5 linked regions of the Ovis aries genome follow. The protein of the gene in region 5 interacts with the protein of the main gene of each other region in a biochemical or structural test. Links are inferred from orthologs where the notes say so. Each region holds a gene or a part of one and is shown on either strand. Other genes may lie near its edges.

Evidence for each region.
Region 1: of the proteins of ATF2 (region 5) and MAPK11, one has a biochemical effect on the other in vitro, tested with the Homo sapiens proteins (4 studies listed by BioGRID and IntAct). The link is inferred for Ovis aries from reciprocal best matches to the Homo sapiens genes ATF2 and MAPK11.
Region 2: of the proteins of ATF2 (region 5) and MAPK9, one has a biochemical effect on the other in vitro, tested with the Homo sapiens proteins (4 studies listed by BioGRID and IntAct, with this or other methods). The link is inferred for Ovis aries from reciprocal best matches to the Homo sapiens genes ATF2 and MAPK9.
Region 3: the proteins of ATF2 (region 5) and JUN form a complex in vitro, tested with the Homo sapiens proteins (4 studies listed by BioGRID and IntAct, with this or other methods). The link is inferred for Ovis aries from reciprocal best matches to the Homo sapiens genes ATF2 and JUN.
Region 4: of the proteins of ATF2 (region 5) and MAPK13, one has a biochemical effect on the other in vitro, tested with the Homo sapiens proteins (2 studies listed by BioGRID and IntAct). The link is inferred for Ovis aries from reciprocal best matches to the Homo sapiens genes ATF2 and MAPK13.

Annotation. Positions count from the first base shown.
Region 1 is NC_056056.1:225,554,457-225,558,546, forward strand, and holds the start of MAPK11 (mitogen-activated protein kinase 11), read right to left. Parts: upstream 2,810-4,090; 5' UTR 1,952-2,809; coding exon 1,542-1,951; intron 871-1,541; coding exon of another isoform or gene 837-870; coding exon 707-836; intron 630-706; coding exon 571-629; intron 466-570; coding exon 354-465; intron 283-353; coding exon 253-282; intron 173-252; coding exon 125-172; intron 46-124; coding exon 1-45. UniProt on the Homo sapiens protein: Serine/threonine kinase which acts as an essential component of the MAP kinase signal transduction pathway.
Region 2 is NC_056058.1:713,798-717,761, forward strand, and holds the start of MAPK9 (mitogen-activated protein kinase 9), read left to right. Parts: upstream 1-1,159; 5' UTR 1,160-1,403; intron 1,404-3,964. UniProt on the Homo sapiens protein: Serine/threonine-protein kinase involved in various processes such as cell proliferation, differentiation, migration, transformation and programmed cell death.
Region 3 is NC_056054.1:33,493,857-33,497,819, forward strand, and holds JUN (transcription factor Jun), read right to left. Parts: upstream 2,808-3,963; 5' UTR 1,888-2,807; coding exon 880-1,887; 3' UTR 114-879; downstream 1-113. UniProt on the Homo sapiens protein: Transcription factor that recognizes and binds to the AP-1 consensus motif 5'-TGA[GC]TCA-3'.
Region 4 is NC_056073.1:10,181,794-10,186,071, reverse strand, and holds the start of MAPK13 (mitogen-activated protein kinase 13), read right to left. Parts: upstream 2,809-4,278; 5' UTR 2,562-2,808; coding exon 2,517-2,561; intron 1,846-2,516; coding exon 1,787-1,845; intron 1-1,786. UniProt on the Homo sapiens protein: Serine/threonine kinase which acts as an essential component of the MAP kinase signal transduction pathway.
Region 5 is NC_056055.1:134,980,378-134,983,888, forward strand, and holds part of ATF2 (cyclic AMP-dependent transcription factor ATF-2), read left to right. Parts: intron 1-1,240; coding exon 1,241-1,419; intron 1,420-2,905; coding exon 2,906-3,020; intron 3,021-3,511. UniProt on the Homo sapiens protein: Transcriptional activator which regulates the transcription of various genes, including those involved in anti-apoptosis, cell growth, and DNA damage response.

The sequences.
Region 1 (4,090 bases), on a different chromosome or scaffold from region 5:
AGTCATCTCCTCGTCTGCCTGGCGCGCCAGTCCGAAGTCCAGGATCTACGGCGACCCCCGGCTTCAGCCCCGAGGGTCTCCACCTCCCCGCAGCCGCCTCCCAGCCCCTGCCCCGGGAGCTCACCCGCAGCTCGCAGTCCTCGTTCACGGCCACGTTGCTGGGCTTCAGGTCCTGCGGGGCGGGCGGGCGCGGTGAGAGGCCGGCAGAGTCCCTGGCGCAGGACCACCGCCGCCTCCGCGCACCGCACCTACCCGGTGGATGATCCCGGCCGAGTGGATGTACTGCGAGGGGGAGACGGCGGGGCGTCAGGCGCTGGCCCCCGCGCCGCCTCCCGCTCCCGCTCCGCGCCCACCTTTAGCCCGCGCAGCAGCTGGTACACGAGGAACTGGACGTGCTCGTCACTCAGCGCCTGGCACTTGACGATGTTGTTCAGGTCGGCGCCCATCAGCGTGGTCACCAGGTACCTGGGTGCGGCCGGGAATGAACCCCGCGCCCGCGCGCCGCCCCGCCCGGCCCCCGCCCCGCGCCCCCGCCGCCCCCGCGCCCCCCGCCCCGCCGACGCCGCTCACACTTCGCTGAAATCCTCGAGGGAGGTGGCCGGCGTGAACACGTCCAGCAGCCCGATGACCTGGGGGCGCGGGGAGTCAGAGCTGCGCGGCCCCGCGCGCGGCGCCCCCCGCCCCGCTCGCCCGCCCGCCCGCTCACGTTCTCGTGCTTCAGGTGTTTGAGCAGCCGCAGCTCCCGGTAGGTCCTCCGCGCGTGGATCAGAGACTGGAAGGGCCGCGACAGCTTCTTCACCGCCACCCTCTGGCGCAGCCGTGTGTCGTAGGCTGAGCTGCAAGGCCGCGCGTCAGGCCCTGCCTCGGTCACTGGCCAGAAGGCCACCAGCACAGGCATGAGACCCCACTCGCTCCCAGGCTCTCCCCTCCCTCCTGGGGTCTTCTTTTTTTAAAATATTTGTTTGGCTGTGCTAGGTCCTAGTTGAGGCATGTGGGGTCTAGTCCCCCGACCAGGGCTTGAACTCTGGCCTCCCCGCATTGGAAGGAGGGCATCTTAGCCACTGGACCACCAGGGAAGGCCCCCTCCTGGGGTCTTGCTCCTTCCTCCAGAGGCAGGTCCCCTTCCGCTGACCCCCTGACTTCCGGCCTCCTGAGCCCACCTGAATTTCTCCTGACTCTTGCCTCCAACTCAGGGTGCAAATGCCACCCCAGGGAAACAGCCAGAATCTTGTTGCCAGAGTGGATGTTCCTCCAGCTCCCTGTGGGCCACGGGGGCTGGGAGGCCGCTGAGGGGTCCCAAAGCCACGCCCAAAGCCCCGGAATGTTCAACACGTAGAGGAGAACCTGACCAAAGGCGTGTGTTGCATCCCCGTCTGTGGCAGTGAGAGGCTAGACAGTAGGGATGTCCAGCAGAGGGTGGCGTCCCCAGAGCGCTTCCCCTCCTGCAGCCCCACTCCCCGGAGGCCCAGACCTGCAGCCTCCCTGCCCAGCTGCTCAGTGTGCCCGCTGCCCTCCCGCTCCACCGCTGTCTCAGGATCCACCTTCCCTCCAGCGAGCTGTCCTGTGCAGTCACCCCACCCCTCCACGCCGACGCAGGGAGCCTCCTGCAGCAGGCGGGATGCTCGTGGGCGATGGTGGAGGAAAGCCGCTCTGGGGTGGGAGTCAGGGGGAGTTGCCCCTCACAGGGGAGGTGAGCAGACCCTTTTCTGTCTGCAGGGTCAGCAGAGGACTGTGGGGATTGACACCAGGCCATCAGCCTCATCTGAGGAGGGAGGGAGCCCAGGAGTGACACCTGCCTGGGGGCCCGCTTCCAGCAGGGTCTGTCAGCCCCCTCCAGGGGCCACACACACACACCCTCTCCTGCCACTGAGGCCTTAGGGGGAAGCCAGGGCCCGCTGGCTGGGGCGGCTGGAGTGGCCTGGGGTTCCCGATGACTGGCCAGTGACAGCATGAGGCCTGAGGCCCAGGAGACCCCAAACCCCTTCTCCAGGCTCCAGCGCTGGGCCCTGGGAGTGATCTGAAGAGTCCCACTTGGAACCTTCTGCCGCGTCCTAGAGGAACAACTCTCCCCTGGGGGCCTGCCTGCCTATACCGATGCCCCCACAGACACCTGGCACCTCACCGGTTCTGGACTGGGGGGGCACCCTTCAACATCCACACCCACAACTGGCCTCACTGTCAACACTGAAGCTCCTGCAAGCCCTGACGGGCCCCACCAGGTCCAGAGGCCTCCCCAGGCCCACCCTCCCTCCTGTCTAGGCCCCAGGGTCTCTCTTGGTTGGGGCAAAAATGGGGAGGGGTGTAGACCCCCTAAAGACCGTGGGGGATGGTAGCCTTCTCTGATCAGGCCTGAACCCCATTCGGAGTCTGAGACCCCTTGGACAACGGGGGAGGGGACAGGGCTCACGGAGGAGCTGGAGGTCATTCTTAGGCAGGGATCTTGGCGCCCCACCCCCAAGCAGGGCTCTTCTTTTTCAAGCAAAACTACCCACCCTGGGGCGGGGGTATCTATCGGAGCCCAGGGTTGCCTGACCCTTGACCGGGGAACCCCAGATGCCTGCTCACACATCCAGGGCCACGGAGACCGGCCCTTTCGCCAGCTGTGACGCCGCAGATTCAGACCCGGAGGAGGACTCCCGGGCTGGAGGGGCAGAGGGAGGCCCCTTCCCCGGCCAGGGAGAGGCGCCGGGGAAGCTTCCCTCGCGCCCCCGCCCCACGTTCATTCCTCGGATCCGCGTAAGGCCCGGGGATGGAGGCAGGGCGAGCCCCTCCCCGCGTCGGAACCCCGCACCGGGGGGAGGGGCGCGCGCGGAGACCCCCCCCCCGCCCCAGCCCGCCCCTACCAGACTGAGCCGTAGGCGCCCGAGCCCACCGGGCGCAGCCCCTGCAGCCGCTGCGGCACCTCCCACAGCGTCTTGTTCAGCTCCAGCCGGTAGAAGCCGGCGCGCGGGCCCGACATCTCCGGAGCGGCCGCAGCTCGGCGCGCGCCCCGCCCCGCTCCCGGCGCCCCGCGGAGCCCCAGCCGGCTGCGGGAGGCGGGGCGGGGCGGGGCCAGGGAGGGGGTTCCCGCAGACGGACGCGCGGCTTCCAGCCGGCCCTGGGCGGCGGCTGGGCGGAAAGCGGCCTTCCCGGGGAGGGGAGGGCGGCGGCCGTGGAACGGCTCCTGGCTCCGCCCGCGGCCTCCTCCCGGGGACCGCGCGCCTCCCCCAAGCGCGCCGCGTCCGTCCTCGGCGCGGCACCGCCCGGGCCGGGCCGCTGCCACCTCCCGGGCTCGGCTCCCCGCACCCTCCCGTGCCGGCACCCAGGGCGCCACCCCTGCCCACCTGCCTTCGCCCGCACTCCTCCACCCGCCTGCTCTGAGTCCTGCGTCTCCCCGCTCCAGCCTGCTCGGGGCGGGCACCCCTCCTCTCCCGGCTCCTCATCCGGGCCTTGCACCCCTCCCCTCCCCCAGCGAGCTCCTCCTGGAATGAAGGCAGAATCCTCTAAATCAGAGAAGCCAGGGCGAACCATGGGACATATATATATTTATATTCATATACATATTTTTCAGATAAATATGTAAATGAATATTTACATACCCCCAATAAAAGCTAGGCATTTGGTTGGGTAGGGTCCCTTCCGCGTGGGCCGATGGCGGCGCCTTGGACTCTGGGTCGGCCTCGCTTCCCTTCCCGTTTGGCCATCCGGCCTTGGCCGTGTGGTTCGCTTCCTAGTAAAGCTTCCCCGACCTGGTGAGGCCTTCTGCAGCGGCGGCTCCTGGGCCGGGCTCAGCCGCACCCTGGGGGAAGCGCAACTGCTGGGCCGGCCCGGAGACCCGCCCTCAGGACCAGGGACAGCGGCGGCGCCGGGGGGAATGGGAGGGCTGGACTCAGGAATCTTTCCTCACCTGGGCCCTCTTTGGGGCCTGGTACCCGTCCTCCTGCTGAAGTAGCCCCCTCAGCTGTGACCTCCTCCAGGAAGCCCACTCTGACTTTCCCAGGTACTGCGGGGTCTCGAACTGCGAACTTCCCCCCCCTCCCCCCCGCGCAGGGCATTTCCTCTCTGCCCCTGGAAGGTGCAGTTCGCACCGGCTGCTGCCACTGAAGGGGCT
Region 2 (3,964 bases), on a different chromosome or scaffold from region 5:
CAACTCTCCCATCATTTCACACCTTCAGACCTGCTGGAACCAGATCCAGAGGCTAGCTGGGGGAGACACCTCTGAAGAAGGTCACTGCCAACAAATCACAGGTCCTAGGGGCCCTCAGCATTGCACTCCCTTCCCTCCATGTATGACTCTGCCATTCTCTTCTGAGAAGACCCAGGAATGAATGCTCCTTTGTAAAACCACAGCTCTGACAGCCAGACCTCCTGAGTTTCCCATAATCCTTGATGGTGGCAATTTTTGTTCAAGTGGCTTGAACTCTGCTCCAGGCTCACCAGCCAGTCTTCTCCCCTCTGTCACTGACCTGCCAGGGCCAGAGGCCTGCACATGGCCATCTCCTCCCATGTCCCTCCTCGGCTTCTGGCTGCTGCTGCTGCTGCTGCTAAGTCGCTTCAGTCGTGTCCGACTCTGTGCGACCCCACAGACGGCAGCCCACCAGGCTCCCCCGTCCCTGGGATTCTCCAGACAAGAACACTGGAGTGGGTTGCCATTTCCTTCTCCAATGCATGAAAGTGAAAAGTGAAAGTGAAGTCGCTCAGTCGAGTCCGACTCTTCGCGACCCCATGGACTGCAGCTTTCCAGGCTCCTCCGTCCATGGGATTTTCCAGGCAAGAGTGATGGAGTGGGTTGCCATTGCTTCTGGCAGCAACCCTGAAACTGCTTCACAGTGAGCAAAGGAATCCAAGGTCCATTCCCCTCGTCTCCACGTCCTCGCCGCCTCCGCCTCCCAGTCCTGGACGCCAAGGCCGCGGCTTCCCCTCGCCCTGGCCCTCCCCTCATGGACCTTCTCCGCCTTCCTCCAGGCCGACTCGCCGCTGTCAGTCTGCACCTGCAAGCCCAGAGGCCCGGCTTTCGGTCCCGTCAGTACCCCTTTCCATCGCCTCCCAGCGCGGTGCTCGGCTGCCGCGCCGCGGGCACCGGTAAAGCGCAGTCGGCGCGCCGAGCCCGGCCTGCGTCATAAGGAAGCGGAGCGATCAGCTGCGCGGCCGCCAAGCGCCGCTCCCCGAAGACCTGGTCAACCAGCGCCGGGCTCGGCCCGCCTCCCCTCCGGAGCCGCCCGGCAGTAGCCCCAGCCCCGCGCGCGCGCGATTGGCCGCGCCCGCCCAGCTCTCCGCGCGCTGATTGGCCGGCGCGCGGGTCGGTCAGACCGGGCGCCGCGGCGGCGGCTGCAGCGGAGGAGAAGCAATCCAGACCGGAAGGGTCCTAGGCGCCCCGGCGCCCCTCACAGCCTTTGCGGCGGCGGCGACGGCGGCGGCGGGGCGGAGCGGAGCAGAGCGGGGCGGGGCGGCCAGGCGAGCCCGGGGCAGCGGAGCCGCGAGCAGCTAGCGCGCTGCGCCGCCAGTCCGCCCGCCTGCCCTCTCCCTCTGGCGCGGCGGCGGGGAGGCGAGGTGAGCCCGGCCGGCGGGTTAGGCCCAGCGGGGACTCTGGGACCGAGCCTCGCCGGGGAGGGGCGGCGGGAAGGCCGCGAGGCCAGGCTCCGCGGGGACAGGGGGGTGCGGAGCGGGAGGACCGGGTTCTGTGGGGTCTGCGGGGTGCTGGCGACCCCGGCCGCAGCCCCTCTTCCTCCAGGCTGCCGCAGTCACCCCCTTACGCCCGGCTGTCCGCGCCCCAGAGCTGCGGGCTCGCTCCCTGCTCTGGCCCCGGCAGACCTGCTGTAGGGTCTGTGGGCGCCCCCTCCCCCGCCCCGATTGTTTGGCACCCAGCTGCATACCTCCTCCCGGATGCTCAGAGCCTGGGATCTGATTCCTGCGACCTTGGCGAAGGCACTGATCCTTGCTGTTCCTCTGTTTTCCCCTCGGCAAAGTGGGGGAAATGTCTACCCTTTTGGACAGGATTGTTGTCAAGCTCTATGAATGTGTGTGAAAGCCCCTGGGCGGGAGCCCGCCCGGTGCACACTTGTGGAAAATGAGCGGGATACTGCTCCTTGCTGGCTTGAGTGTAGCAGAGTCCGCCCAGAGTCCCCCATCCTCATGCTCCCCAAGTGCCTTGTCATTGCATACTCAGTGCCCAGCAGTGCCTGAGCGGGCCCTGACCAGCTCACCCCCAACAAGTCCCCCAACCCGGAGCAGTGGTCTCCTAACCTACCCATCTTACTGGCCTTGAACATTCAGCCCTGTTTACCTCAGGACCTTTGCACTTGTATCCAGTGATTGGAGTTGCCTCCCGGATCTTTGCACAGCTGACTCCTTCTGGTCCTTCTCACATGTTCCAATTTACAGAATCCTTTCCTTGACCTCTCTTTCTCCTCCTTTAGTCTTTCTGTCTCATTACATTAATTTTCTTCCCAGTATCTGGTTTGAAACTATTCTGTTGATTCGCCTGTTTATTTTCTGTCTCTCCCATTAGGATTATAGCTTTCTGAAAACAGGTAGTTGTCTGATTTGTCCACTGCTTTATCCCCAGTGCTTAGAAAGCACACAGTAAGTATTCAGTAATATCAGTTAAGTGAGTAAGTGAGTGAATGAATGACCCTGCCAGCCTGTTGCCTCTGCTTTCTCTGTTTAGTGACTTCTGACTAACTTGTGAAACTTACATGCAGATGATAGGTTGCTTTAGTTTTGTGGAACATTTTAATGTCCTTGACCCTTTTATTTGGTAACTATCAGAACAAGCTGTAATATAAAATCTGACATTTTTATAATGTTTTCGCTCTAACTTCCTTCCTCGCATTCAGGACATATTGACTGAATTCTACATTATCCAGGTCAGCTTTCTGCTCGGCCCTGGGGACACAAAGGCAGTAGCAACAGGGTCCCTTCCTCCAGAGAGCCCAAGAGCCCAGTAGAGAAAGGAGACATGCAGACAGTGCTCGGACAGCTTGCTGTATAGCAGGGCTGTGCTGTGGAAACTTGGAGGAGGCGGTGGTGCTTGGCTGGTGCTGGAGTTGGCTTGAATGGTGATGAGAAACTTGTCAGGTCTAGGGGAAGACAAGACGTGGGGAAGGGCAGGGTGAAGGAAGAACTTCAGCCCAATCAGTTGAGTTCACTCGCTCAATCATGTCGCTGTTTGGGACCCCATGGACTGCAGCACACCAGGCTTCCTTGTCCATCACCAACTCCCAGGGCTTGCTTGAACTCATGTTCATCAAGTCGGTGATGCCATCCAACCATCTCGTCCTCTGTCATCCCCTTCTCCAATATTCAGCCCAATGTTGGGGTCAAAAACCAGCCTGTGGGGCCAGGTGTGAGAGATTAGAGTAGTGGAGACCCTGGAGAACCAGACACCACTTACCCAGCAATTTTTAGAAAGAAGCCAGAACTTGAGATTTGTATCTGCACTCTCTTCATGTTCAATTGTTGGCAGTAGCTTATTTTAAAATGTTTTCAGTGCTGTGAGCCAAGCAAAATGCAGACCTCATTCAGTTTTATTTCAGGATTGTCGGACTCCGGACTTCAAGGCAGGTTGTTTAGGAGGGAAGAGTTGCAGTGAGCTAGAAGGGTAGCCCACGACTAGGGCAGCTCGGCCCTGTTTGTCCAGGAACTCTCTTTTGGCACTGGAGCCCTGCGATAGCAGCTAGGAAGCCTGCTAGCCTCCACTTTCTACACAGGAGGAAGCAGAGGCTCCCAGGGTTTCGGCAGTCTGTTTTGTAGCAAGCAGCTGGAAAGTGAAATTTGAACCCAGGTCTCCCGCAGATCAGCATTCTTTCCTGAGTCCCTTAGCTCTGAGTATTCTCTTTGGCTCTTAGTTTGTTCTGGAAGAATAAAATCCAATCTAGATATCGTTTCCCTTCATTTATCCCTTTTTTTCCCCTTCAAGAGGATCCTACAGGGTTAAAAACAATCCTATTTTGGCATAGTCTGTCGCTGAAGAGCGTTCTTTTCCTGAGTTTCTTGAGGAGAATCCACTCCTGAGAACTTAACTTTTCAGGATGCCACTTTAAATAATTTGTTGACAGATTAAAATGTGTTTATTTGGCCTTCCTAAATAAATGTTAGAAGGTACACCTCAA
Region 3 (3,963 bases), on a different chromosome or scaffold from region 5:
TCAGGGCCTGCTAGTAAGAAGCACCCACAGTGATTTTAATTGACACTCAACTCTTTCAACTCCACCTAGACAAGTAATCTATAGATAATGCAGAAAAGAGGTTGGGGGAGGGGTAACTTTTTCAATATTTTATTGTATTTTCTTAAATATCCTTTCTGGAATTTTCAGAAACAAAACATAAAAAAAATTATATACTTTATTACAAATGGTAAACTCAGAGTGCTCCAAATCTCTTATTTACAAACAAGGCTGGGCAGGACACCCAAACAAACAAACATGAATAACTTACAAAGGCATGAAGCTGTTTATTGACAGTAATCAGCTTTCATCAAATTAAAAAATATATATATGTACATACACAGTTATGGAAGGCAGGCCAGAAAGAGCTCATCTGCAGGCTGGGCCTCGCTCTCACAAACCTCCCTCCCGCCTCCCCTCCCCCACCCCCTTTGTGTTCTTAAGGAGTACTACAGAAGCGATCTACAGTCTCTATTGCAGTTTGCAACCCCCTCCCCCACCCCACCCCTTTAATACTGAATGAGATCGAATGTTAGGTCCATGCAGTTCTTGGTCAACGTTAAAGAAAAGTCTAACGTTCTGTTTGCGCGGGGACAGCCCGTCCGCAAACCCGGGCAGCCCGCGAGCGGCCGTTCCCTGGCTCCTCGCCAAGGGAGGGCGCGCCAAGTCCTTCCCACTCGTGCACACTGGGGGCGCCGTCAGGACGCAACCCAGTCCAACTTGGATACCCTTGGCTTTAGTCCTCGGACACTTTTGTTTTTTTCTCTGTTTCTCTCTCGCAACTTGTCAAGTTCTCAAATCTGTCTCTCTGTGTTATTTATATTTTTTCTCCGTTGCCCCTCAGCCCCCGACAGTCTCGCCTCAAAACGTTTGCAACTGCTGCGTTAGCATGAGTTGGCACCCGCTGTTAACGTGGTTCATGACTTTTTGTTTAAGCTGGGCCACCTGTTCCCTGAGCATATTGGCGGTGGACGCCAGCTCCGAGTTCTGCGCTTTCAAGGTTTTCACTTTTTCCTCCAGCCGCGCGATCCTCTCCAGCTTCCTTTTCCGGCACTTGGAAGCAGCGATGCGGTTCCTCATGCGCTTCCTCTCCGCCTTGATCCGCTCCTGGGACTCCATGTCGATGGGGGACAGGGGCGGCGTTTCCCCGGGCATCTCGGGCACCGTCTGCGGCTCTTCCTTCAGGGCCTGCAGCCGCGGGTGCTGCACGGGTATCTGCTGGGGCAGGTGGTGCGGCGGCTGCGGTGGTTGCTGCTGCTGCTGCTGGGGCTGCGCGGGAAAGGCCAGGCCAGCCGCGCCGTAGGAGGGCGCCCCGCCGCCGCTGCTCAGCGCGCCGGGGTTGAAGTTGCTGAGGTTGGCGTAGACCGGCGGCTCGCTGTGCAGGCTGGCGCTGAAGCCGCCGCTGCCGCTGCCGCCCGCCACCGAGGCCACCGCCGGGGCCACCAGGCCCGCCCCGCTGACCGGCTGCGCCGCCGACGTGACGCTGGGCAGCGTGTTCTGGCTGTGCAGTTCGGCCAGGGCGCGCACGAAGCCCTCGGCGAATCCCTCCTGCTCGTCCGTCACGTTCTTGGGGCACAGGAACTGGGTGGGGGTCGGCGTGGTGGTGATATGCCCGTTGCTGGACTGTATGATCAGGCGCTCCAGCTCGGGCGACGCCAGCTTGAGCAGCCCAACGTCGGGCGAGGTGAGGAGGTCGGAGTTCTTGGCCCGGAGGTGCGGCTTCAGGCTGCCCACCGGGTCGGCCAGATTCAGGGTCATGCTCTGCTTCAGAATCTTGGGGTTACTGTAGCCGTAGGCGCCGCTCTCAGACTGGAGGAACGAGGCGTTGAGGGCATCGTCGTAGAAGGTCGTTTCCATCTTTGCAGTCATAGAACAGTCCGTCACTTCGCGTGGGCTTAGTTTAAGCTGCGCGCAGAAGTTTCGGGGCCGCAACAGCGCGCTGGCAAGCGGGGGACACCCGCGCCTCCCCGGGCAGTGAGCAAGGAAAGTTTCTGGAAGAGCGCGCGCCCCCGCCGGCTGGCAGCCCCCGCCCCCGGCGCCCTCCTCACCAGCTCGGTCCGGGGGATCGCAGGGTTAAGACGCCGCCCGCGCTCTTACTTGTCCGCTCGCGCGCGCCGCCCGGCTTTGAAAAGTCGCGGTCACTCACGGAGCTCTCTCGAGCGCAGCGGTTCCTCAGAGCCCGCGGACGAACTCGCTTCCCGGTGATAGCAGGGAGCGCGGACCCCGCGTTTGCCTGCCGGCGGCGGGTGTCCGCCGCCCCGACTCGGAAGACTGTCCCCTCCTCCGCTGAGAGGGGGAGGGGGCGCCCGGCAGCCGCGGCTCGCGCTCGCCCAAGTTCAGCAACCGGTGCGAGCGAAGCGGAGCGCACGTCCTCCTCTCTCCGCCGCCTCTTTTTCTTCACCGCCGCCGCGGCAGCTTCGGGCGGAGGCAAGATTTGCAAAAGTTCGTTCCGGGACCCGGCGGCCACTTGTCTCCTGTCTTCCTGGCCGGGAAAGTTCTTGCCGCTGCAGCCGCTCTCCGGACTTCCCCGGGCGGACAGTGGCCGCTCTCCGCGCTGTCAGCAGCGCCCGCGCAGCGGGGCTCTCCGCCTGGGGGCGGCTGGCGAAGGGGCTCTCCCGGCGCTCCCCAAAACACCAGGCCGGGAGCCACAAGCGCTAGCTCCGGGCAGTTGGAGAGAAATTGGAAAATAGGATTTGCTGTCCTTCTCGACTGACTGTGCCTGTCTGCCTGCCTGCGTCCGCGCACCTCCACTCCCGCCTCGCAGCTTCAGCCACACTCAGTGCAACTCTGAGCCCTTATCCAGCCGGAGCGCAACACTTATCTGCTACCAGTCAACCCCTAAAAATAGCCCATGATGTCACCCCAAGGCCTTCCCATTGGCTCGCGTCGCTCTCAGGGGGGCGGGCCCACCCGTCGCCATGGAGACCCCACCCTAGAAGATTCTTCTCTGGGCCCGCGGAGGCTCACGGGATGAGGTAATGCTCCGTTGCCCTCCTACAGTTGGGCCCTTCTTTCTCCTCCTCCCCCCAACCCGCTCCGCGCGACTCGCGCCCCTCTCTTCCCCCTCCCTCCCCGACGCGTCTTTCCCGGCCCGCCCGGTGCATTGTGGGCTGACGTCTTGGGGTTTGACTGTCTAGTGACGGTGGCTGCCGCGAGCCGGGCGGACTCCGGCGCTCCCAGCCTCTGAGGGAAGTGGGCTGAAGTTTAGGGCTCGGATGGGAATGCCAGGGATGCTAGGACCCAGGAGGCCAGGGGAACCGAGCCAGGTGTCTGGGGCCGAGGGCGCGGGGCGGGTGGTATTTCCCCACTTGGGGGTTCGATGTCACCCGCGGGCACTTCGCCGCCGCTCGGGGCGGGCCGGGCCCGTTGAGCGCCTGGGTTCCTGGCCCCCCCGCACTTCCGGGGGGCGGGAGCACCGCCCTTAAGGTGGCTCTGTTAAGTCCCCTGTGGGGGCGAGTGAAAGTGGCTTTTAAATTTGGGGGCAGTTCGTGAGAGTCGGCCCCCCACGTTGAGAATGCCCTGAAGTTTGTCTCCTGGTCAAGTTCAGTAGCGACTGTCTGGCTCTGTCTGGAAGTCCAGTGATTTGCATTGCTTGAAACTGGGTGTTCGGCTAAGTCCCCTCCGCACTCCCACCTCACCCTCCCGACCGTGGGAGAAAGGGTGCGGGGGTTCGCATCTTTGCCTCGGAAAGGTTTCTTACAGGAGGTGGATTTAAGGGGCAACTCGGCGTCTAGTTTGAACGAGCGTTTGGAGAATCCGAAACTCGGGGAACCCCGGTGATAGTCTACTCTCCGCCCCCGCACAACATGCATAGACACACCGCACATCACATGTACACACAAACACACACACACGCACACGCCACTCCTCCCGCCCCGATTTGCTTCCGGGAAAACAAGTCCGAGAGCAGCAGACACTTGCCAAAAGTCACGCAGCGAGTGAGTA
Region 4 (4,278 bases), on a different chromosome or scaffold from region 5:
CTGATTCTTTTCCGCTTACAAGCTCACTGACGTCCTGCGGTGCCACAACCACCCTCCCTTAACCTTATTTCTTCGCGTACCCCACTCCTTCTCTCTCTTTCCCTCCTGATCAAACTTCTAGAAAGAGTGGTCCTCACCTGTCCACCCCACTGCCTTAATGCACAGTTCCCTGACAACAGGGTGTCTGTTCCTGCCCCACCAGCCCAGAGCACACACCCACGACTCCCTTTCTTTCTACTGGAACTTGTGCAAAGCTTGACACCCCCTCAAGATTTTCTGCGAATCCTACCTCTGGGCAGGCGGCCTCAGCTCTCTGCCTGCACATTCTCGTGTAGCTTCTCTTTCATGTTGGTATCTTAACCCACAGCATCGCAGCAGGCTCTACACTGGCCTGTCCCTGGGCTTCGGCTCTCATCCACCAGTGATTATTCAGGCCCAAATCCACATCCCTGGCTCAGACCTTCCTAAACTCTGGGTTTATTTGCTGATTAAACACTTGAATGTTCATAGGCTTTTCAAAACTGAAGTGTCCAAAGTGGAGTTCATTATCTTTCTCCTAAGATGTGTTCTTCCTTCACCTGGTATTCCGAGTAGGAACCTGGCATCCCTGGCTCTCCTCACCACTGCCTCCCAAGGGATACAACACTCTGACAGTGCTGCCTCTCGATGGGGCTCAAGTCAGCTCTTGGGACCCTGTCACCTTGACTGCATTTAGACCAAGGTCTAGTTCTCCCAGAGCTGTGTCCCTGGTCCTTTCTTGCTGCTGCCAGAGTGCATCCCCCAAATCCGATCTGACCACCTCACCTCGCTGCTCAAAACCTCTATAGCCTTGAGGCTGCCTGTGGAATCAAGTCTGGACTCAGCCGAACTAAATCAGCCACTGCTTCACTGCACATCTCAGGATGGCCCAGCCTCTTTCACACGTGCTTCATGGCCTTGGTCCACGCAGTTCCTTCTCCTTGGGATGCCTTCAGCCCTTCAACCTCAGGCAAACACTGACTCATCCTTCAGAGCTGAGTTCAGAGTTACCTCCTCTGTGAAGCCCGCTGAGGCAGCTGGCAGTTCCCGGCTCTACCCAGACTTAGAGCACTGACCATCACTGTCAGTATTCACCACTGTCCGTCCTGGAGGAGCTGGTCCACTTTAAATTCCCAATGCTAAGCCCAGCAGCCGGCATTGTAGGGGGGAAAATCCATTCAAACTCACTGCATTAAACTGAAAACAAAAGCATCCTAATAAAGAGAACTGCGGCTACAGTTGAAATAGGACTGGAAAAAAAAATCCACCCTCTCAAAGTTTCCTAAATTTTAGCAGGTACTGCACTAGCAAAGCTGTGCATTTAGCAACTAAATTTTCGTGTTCTGTGTAATTCTGAGAAACATCCCCATTGGCTGGGGCAGCCAAGGCTTTGTGATCCTCGCTCCATTCTAGGAAGAGTCCTGAAGTCCAGACCCACACCTGCACCAGGACATGGTGAGGGAGGCTGATGCAAACCGTGTGGGGACTGGCGGCGATGTCTCCGTGGTGTTGAGGGTGGGTAAAGCAAAGCAGATGAGCAGACAGCTCTGTGTCAGCCAGGCTCCGTAAAAAGCCCTTCCCACCTTTTCAGGCCAGCCGTTCTCTCCACCCTGGGCTGGATCTCTCCCCAGCCCAAAGGCATACAGCCTCCTGGGACAGAAGAGAGAACCTGGACCCTCCCCTTACTTGCCCGCGCCGCCCCTCCCACCCCGCCCCAGTGGCAAGTAAGGTCTGCAAATATCCCGGAACCCGGCACAGCCCGACTCACAAGTCATGGAAGTTGCGCAGGGAGGAGGCTGGGGTGAAGACATCCAGGAGCCCAATGACCTAAAGAGAAGATGGCCAGTGAGGGCCAGGCAGCCGCCGCACCCTGCATTTGTCCTCTGAGTCCCCAGGCCTGCACAGGACCACCTGCCCTTTCCTAGAACAGCACCTCCAGCAGGAGGCAGGTTCCCAGCCTTCTGGGAAGAAGCAGTTAAAGGGGCAGAGATGGGAGAGGGATTCCTCCACCTGGGCAGGAATTTGCAGTGCACTGTGATGGAGAGTCAGGCTGGGATAAGAGATGGTGGACGTGTCTGTGCTCACTGACCCCAAGTCTGGGGTCAGGACGAACAGCACACCCAGTCTCCGCTCAGGCCGGGAACCTTGAGTGGGGAAGGGAATCGAGGAGGGGACAGAGAAGGGATCTTCCAGCCAGCAGGCTCCCTGTCCTTGACCTTGGGTCTCACCACATCTAACGCTGCCTGCCAAAGGGCTGATTCAGAGCTGGGGCAAGACTTCCCAGCTGGAGGCCATGGGGAGGAGCTGCCCGAGGAGGAATGGGACTTAAAATATGCACAGTGTTTTGAACTCATTGTTTTAAATGCTTGGGTTTCCCTGGGTGGTTTAGCAGTAAAGAATCCACCTGCAATGCAGGAGCCGCAAGAGATGTGGGTTTGATCCCTGGGTCAGGAGGATCCCCTGGAGGAGGAAATGGCAACCTACTCCAGTGTTCTTGCCTGGAGAATCCCATGGGCAGAGGAGTCTGGCGGGCCACAGTCCATGGGGTCGCAGAGTCGGACACAATGGAAGCGACTTAGCACATTTTTAAAAACGCTTGTCTGCCAATACAGGTATCCTGCAGCAAAGCCTAGGGGCCAGGCTCAGCACTGGGTCACTAGTTTCCTGGCTGTTTCAATTAGACAGGACAGTCTCAAGGTCGGGCTCTGGGGCCTGGAGCCAGGTTGTCTAGGGTCAGATCCCAGCTCTGCCACTGACTAACCATATAATCTGTCTGTCCACGGCCATACCACCCTGAACGTGCCTGATCTCGTCTGATAACCTGTAAGTCTTTCTGTGCCTCAGTTTCCCTGTCTGTATAAGGGAGTAATGATACTTATATGATACTGTGAGGATTAAACATTCTAGTTTCTGCAAAGTTCTTAGAGCTGTGCCTGGCACATAAGTGCTCACAGGTTTCTATTATCCTTGTTGTAATTATGTGGAAACAACATTAACCAGGATACTGGGCACCAGGTCTCAGATCTAGAACAACTACGGAGTTCCTCGGTGCCCATTTCCTCATAACAGTGAGACACCAAGTTCATTCAGCTCCACTGCCAAAAATTCCTTTGCACCTTACCTGGGAAGTAGGCGGGGTGGGTCCTGGCACATAGTTTTAATAATCAGGTGAGGAACAAGGATCCAGAGGAGCAGGGAGGAGGTTCCCTTTCTGCTGGCGCTGTTGGGTCAGCATCTTGGGGTATCTTCCGTGTGTGCGCGTGCGCGTGTGCACACACACGGAGGGGCTGGTCAGGACCCTCTCTGGGGCTGCCCTCCCGTCCCTGCCTCCCCGAAGCAGCCCCCGGGCCCAGCCTACGTTCTCATGCTGCATGTGTTTCAGCAGCAGCAGCTCCCGATAAGCCCGCTTGGCAAAGATCTCGGACTGGAAGGGCCGGCTCAGCTTCTTGATGGCCACCTTTTCCCCTGACCGCTTGTCGATGGCTGAGCTGTAGGGTCAAAGGCAGGTCAGCAGGGAGCACGCCCCCCCACCCCCGGCCCCAGCCCGGAGGCAGGCAGGGCTCCAGACCCTGGGTGGCATCTGCCAGGCCATCTGGGGAGCCACGGCCATCCTCACCCCAATCCCTCTGGGCCAGCAGCCTAAGCTGGGAGGAGCTGATGCCCACCACCGGGAATGTGAGTTGCTGAAAGCACAGTGGGACTGGGGGAGCGAGGAGGGAGCAGGCAGGATCTGAGAGAGGTGCCCTGCACCAGGGTCAAACACAAGTTAATATCAACAGGATCCCAAACAACTTGGCAAGTCACTTCTTGTTTGCCTCTCTGTGTACCCATGTGTATTAAATAACAATCAATCGGGATTCGGCGAGATGAACTCTGGGGTCCCTTGTAAGTCCTGGAGAAACAGATTCAGTCCTAATTCAACCCACAGAGACCCCCCAGCAAGCAGGTGCGAAAAGCGAACTGGCGCCTGGGGCGACCCCATGGCCAGCCTCCACAGCCCGAGGCTGCTGCTCCACTTCGAGGTCCAGTTGCTGCCTCCTCCAGTCCCAGGGCTCAGCCTGGCAAAAGCACCCGCAAAAGTCTTCCCAACCCGCAGGACTCTGGGCCTCGGGGTCCTTGATCAAAGGTGGTGGGGGCACAGCTCCGCGCGCCCAGCAGGTGAGGGCCCCCGGATGCGGATCCGGGAAGCAGATCCGGGGTGAGGGTGGGCACTGGTCTGGCTCTGGCTCTGGCGGAGGCCCCGCCCGCGTCCCGGTGCCT
Region 5 (3,511 bases):
TCCGTGCTTAAAATCCTTCAGTGGTTTGCCTTTGCATTTAAGGTAATTCACACTTCTCCGTAAGCCATCATTGATTTAGACTTGTATTCTTATCCAACCTCACCTCATTCCTTTCCTATGAAAGTGTTCATCAGATATTCTAAGCTTTTCCCTCCCTCAAAGACATTGCTCTTGGTATTGCTTCCTTCTCCCTAGAATGCGCTCCTCATCTTTTCAGTACCAGTTCAAATGCCATTTTTCAAAGAAGCTCACTTTACCTCACTATGCTATCTAAAGTAGCCAACTCCAACTTTCCCTCAGTTAATCTCTCATGATTTATTGATATTATGTTATACTGTTAGTCTGTAAGACATTACTGTCCAAAATTTTCTGGTTTGTTTTACTTGTTTACTGTCTCTTTTCCTCCTAGTCCTTCAGGGCATGTTGTAATTTCTCAAACTTGTCAAGTAAACGAAATTCCAATAGTACTAGTTTATTTTTCTTCCTGTGTAGCTTAATAAAATTGTGAGAATAAATGGCAGTATAAAGGCAAATTCAAGGAACATGGTGGACCAATTTTTATACTAGTTATGGAGTTCTGGATAATCTGTTTTCTAATCTGTAAATTGGGGAAAAGACCATCTATAAGGTTCCGTGTTTTTCTTTACTTTGGAAAGATCTTACTACAATAGTTTAGTTTTACATTCAAGGTATTAATATTACTTCACCTTTTGATACTGAGAAATTATTGGTAATGTAGAGATAGTTATCTGAAATTGGCAAACATTTGTATTACTTAAAAAAAAATTTTAACATTTTTATTATTGAATTGATATCAACTATAAAAGAGTCTCCTGGACCTACTTCTTCTTTATACAATATAATGATGGAGTAGGACAAGGAAGTCCCATCTGGATTTTAAGTTCTGTACTTCCATGAGAATGGAATTGTAGTTTTATTTTTTACTAGAATTCTCATGGAGTTATATAACCAAGTTGCCCAGCCTAAGTTATTTCTAGATTGATGGTAAAACAAGTTGTACTGAAAAAAACCACTCAGATGTTTTTTAAATTAAAATATTAACACTGCATTTGAAACAATTTTCTCATAATTAACTTTAAATAAATATTAATATATTTTGGGGTGATACTTAGTACTGAGTTTGTGGGGTTTTTTTAAGACATGTCATTCTATTCATTAAGGTACATGAATTGACTTGGATTTTTAAATTTCATTGTTTCTCCATCTCATTATTAAATAGGAAGTACCATTGGCACAAACTGCACAGCCTACATCAGCTATCGTTCGTCCAGCATCTTTACAAGTTCCCAATGTGCTGCTTACAAGTTCTGACTCAAGTGTCATTATTCAGCAGGCAGTACCTTCACCAACGTCAAGTACTGTAATCACCCAGGCACCGTCCTCCAACAGGCCAATTGTGTAAGTGATTTGGGCCAGTCATTGAATTTTCTGAATTGTTAAGTTTTTGTTTTCATGGTTTTCCTAAGACATTTAATTATTCTAATTGTGGCATTAGTTTTGTGTGTTAATCATTTTTGCATGCTTTTATTTTTGGAAAAAATGCTTGGGTAATTTTTTTTTTAATGTGAATGTTTTCTAACACATTAGAAAACATATACAGAGCTTAATTTTAAAGACAACGCAGATTGTGATTTTAAGATGGTCTCTTATTTTCATGCTATTTTACACAAAACACATAAGATTATCTTTATCACTAGATAACATTTCTTTCAGGGCTTCCCTGGTGGCTCAGATGGTAAAGAATGTGCCTGCAATGTGGGAGACCTGGGTCAGGAAGATCCCCTGGAGAAGGGAATGGCTACCCACTCCAGTATTCTTGCCTGGAGGAATCCCATGGACAGTGGAGCCTGGCAGGCTATTGTCCATGGTGTTGCAAAGAGTAAGACTCAACTGAGTGACTGACACAAAACATTTCTTTCAGTTTTTACAGGGAGCTCTCAAGAGCTTTCTGATAAGAATTTCTCTCAATTAATATATTGCAGTTTGTTCTCTAAGTAAATTCGTAGCTTTCCCCATTTTTTTTCCTTTTTTCCTATACTGCTTGCATACATTGTGCATTTAAGATGCAATTAAAACTAATTAAATTTTACAATGTGCTTTGCAGTGGTTCAGAAATGTTGGTTTAATTACTTGAGCAGCATATATACACCATGTATGATTTTTTGTGGGTATTTTGTTCATTTTATAAGAAATGGTATCAAGTTTGTATCTGTCACATGGGCATTTTCCTTGGGCTGGACCTCTTGTTCTTTTTTTTTTCTTCCAGTTTTATTGAGATATACAGTGAACGTTTAGGGCTTCCCAAGTGGCGCTAGTGGTAGAGAACCCACCTGCCAGTGCAGGAGACATAAGAGATGCTGGTTCGATCCTTGGGCCCGGAAGATCCTCTGGAGAAGGAAGTGGAAACCCACTCCAGGATTCTTGCCTGGAAAATTCCATGGACAGAGGAGCCTGGCAAGCAGCTGTAGTCCATGGGGTTGCAAAGAGTCAGACATGACTGAGCACACCACACACATACACATTACATCCCTAGTACTTATGTGTCTTCCAACTATAAGTTAGTATCTTCTGACCACCTTTGTTACCATACAGGGATGATATTACATTGTTAATGATTATATTCTTCACATTGCGAATTCATTCCTGTGACTCATTTACTTTGCAACTGGAAGTTTGTACCTCTTAATTTCTCTCATCCCTCCATTCCCTTCCCTCTGACAACCACCTGTCTGTTCTCTGTTTCTCTTCTGTTTTGTTTATTAATTTTTTAGATGTCTCCAGAAAATTTATTTTTAAATTATAATAGTAAAAATACTTTTATATTTTTTAGACATCATTGATACGGATTTCCTTTTTCTAATTGCCCTTCTTTTGTTTTCCTTAGTCCTGTACCAGGCCCATTTCCTCTTCTGTTACATCTTCCTAATGGACAAACCATGCCTGTTGCGATTCCTGCATCAATCACAAGTTCTAATGTGCATGTTCCAGCTGCAGTCCCAGTAAGTTTTTAGACTATTTAATATTTTCTTTATAGAAAACTGATCTTTATAATCAGAAAATACACTTGGGGCTGCTTGATTAGTTTATGAAACTGAATTCAACAAAATACTTAGTGTTAAGTAATATTTACTCATTGATATTTACTGTGATAGCATAAATCTTTCGAGGCAAACATAACTGGATAAATAACATTTTTCAATCCTCGAAATCTTAATTGTTTTCCTTTTATTTTTAATATTAAGAACTAATTCCTAAGGTTCAAGAGGGAGAGGACATATGTATACCTATGACTGATTTATGTTGCTGTTTGGCAGAAACCAGCAAAATTCTGTAAAGCAATTATCCTTCAATTAAAAAATAAATTAAAAAAATAAACATAAGGTTGAATTAAAAAAAAAAACTAATTCCTTATTCAACCCATTTCAATTTGCTAGATTTGTAGAATTCAAATATTAACATAGGGGACTTCCCTGGTGGTGCAGTGGCTAAG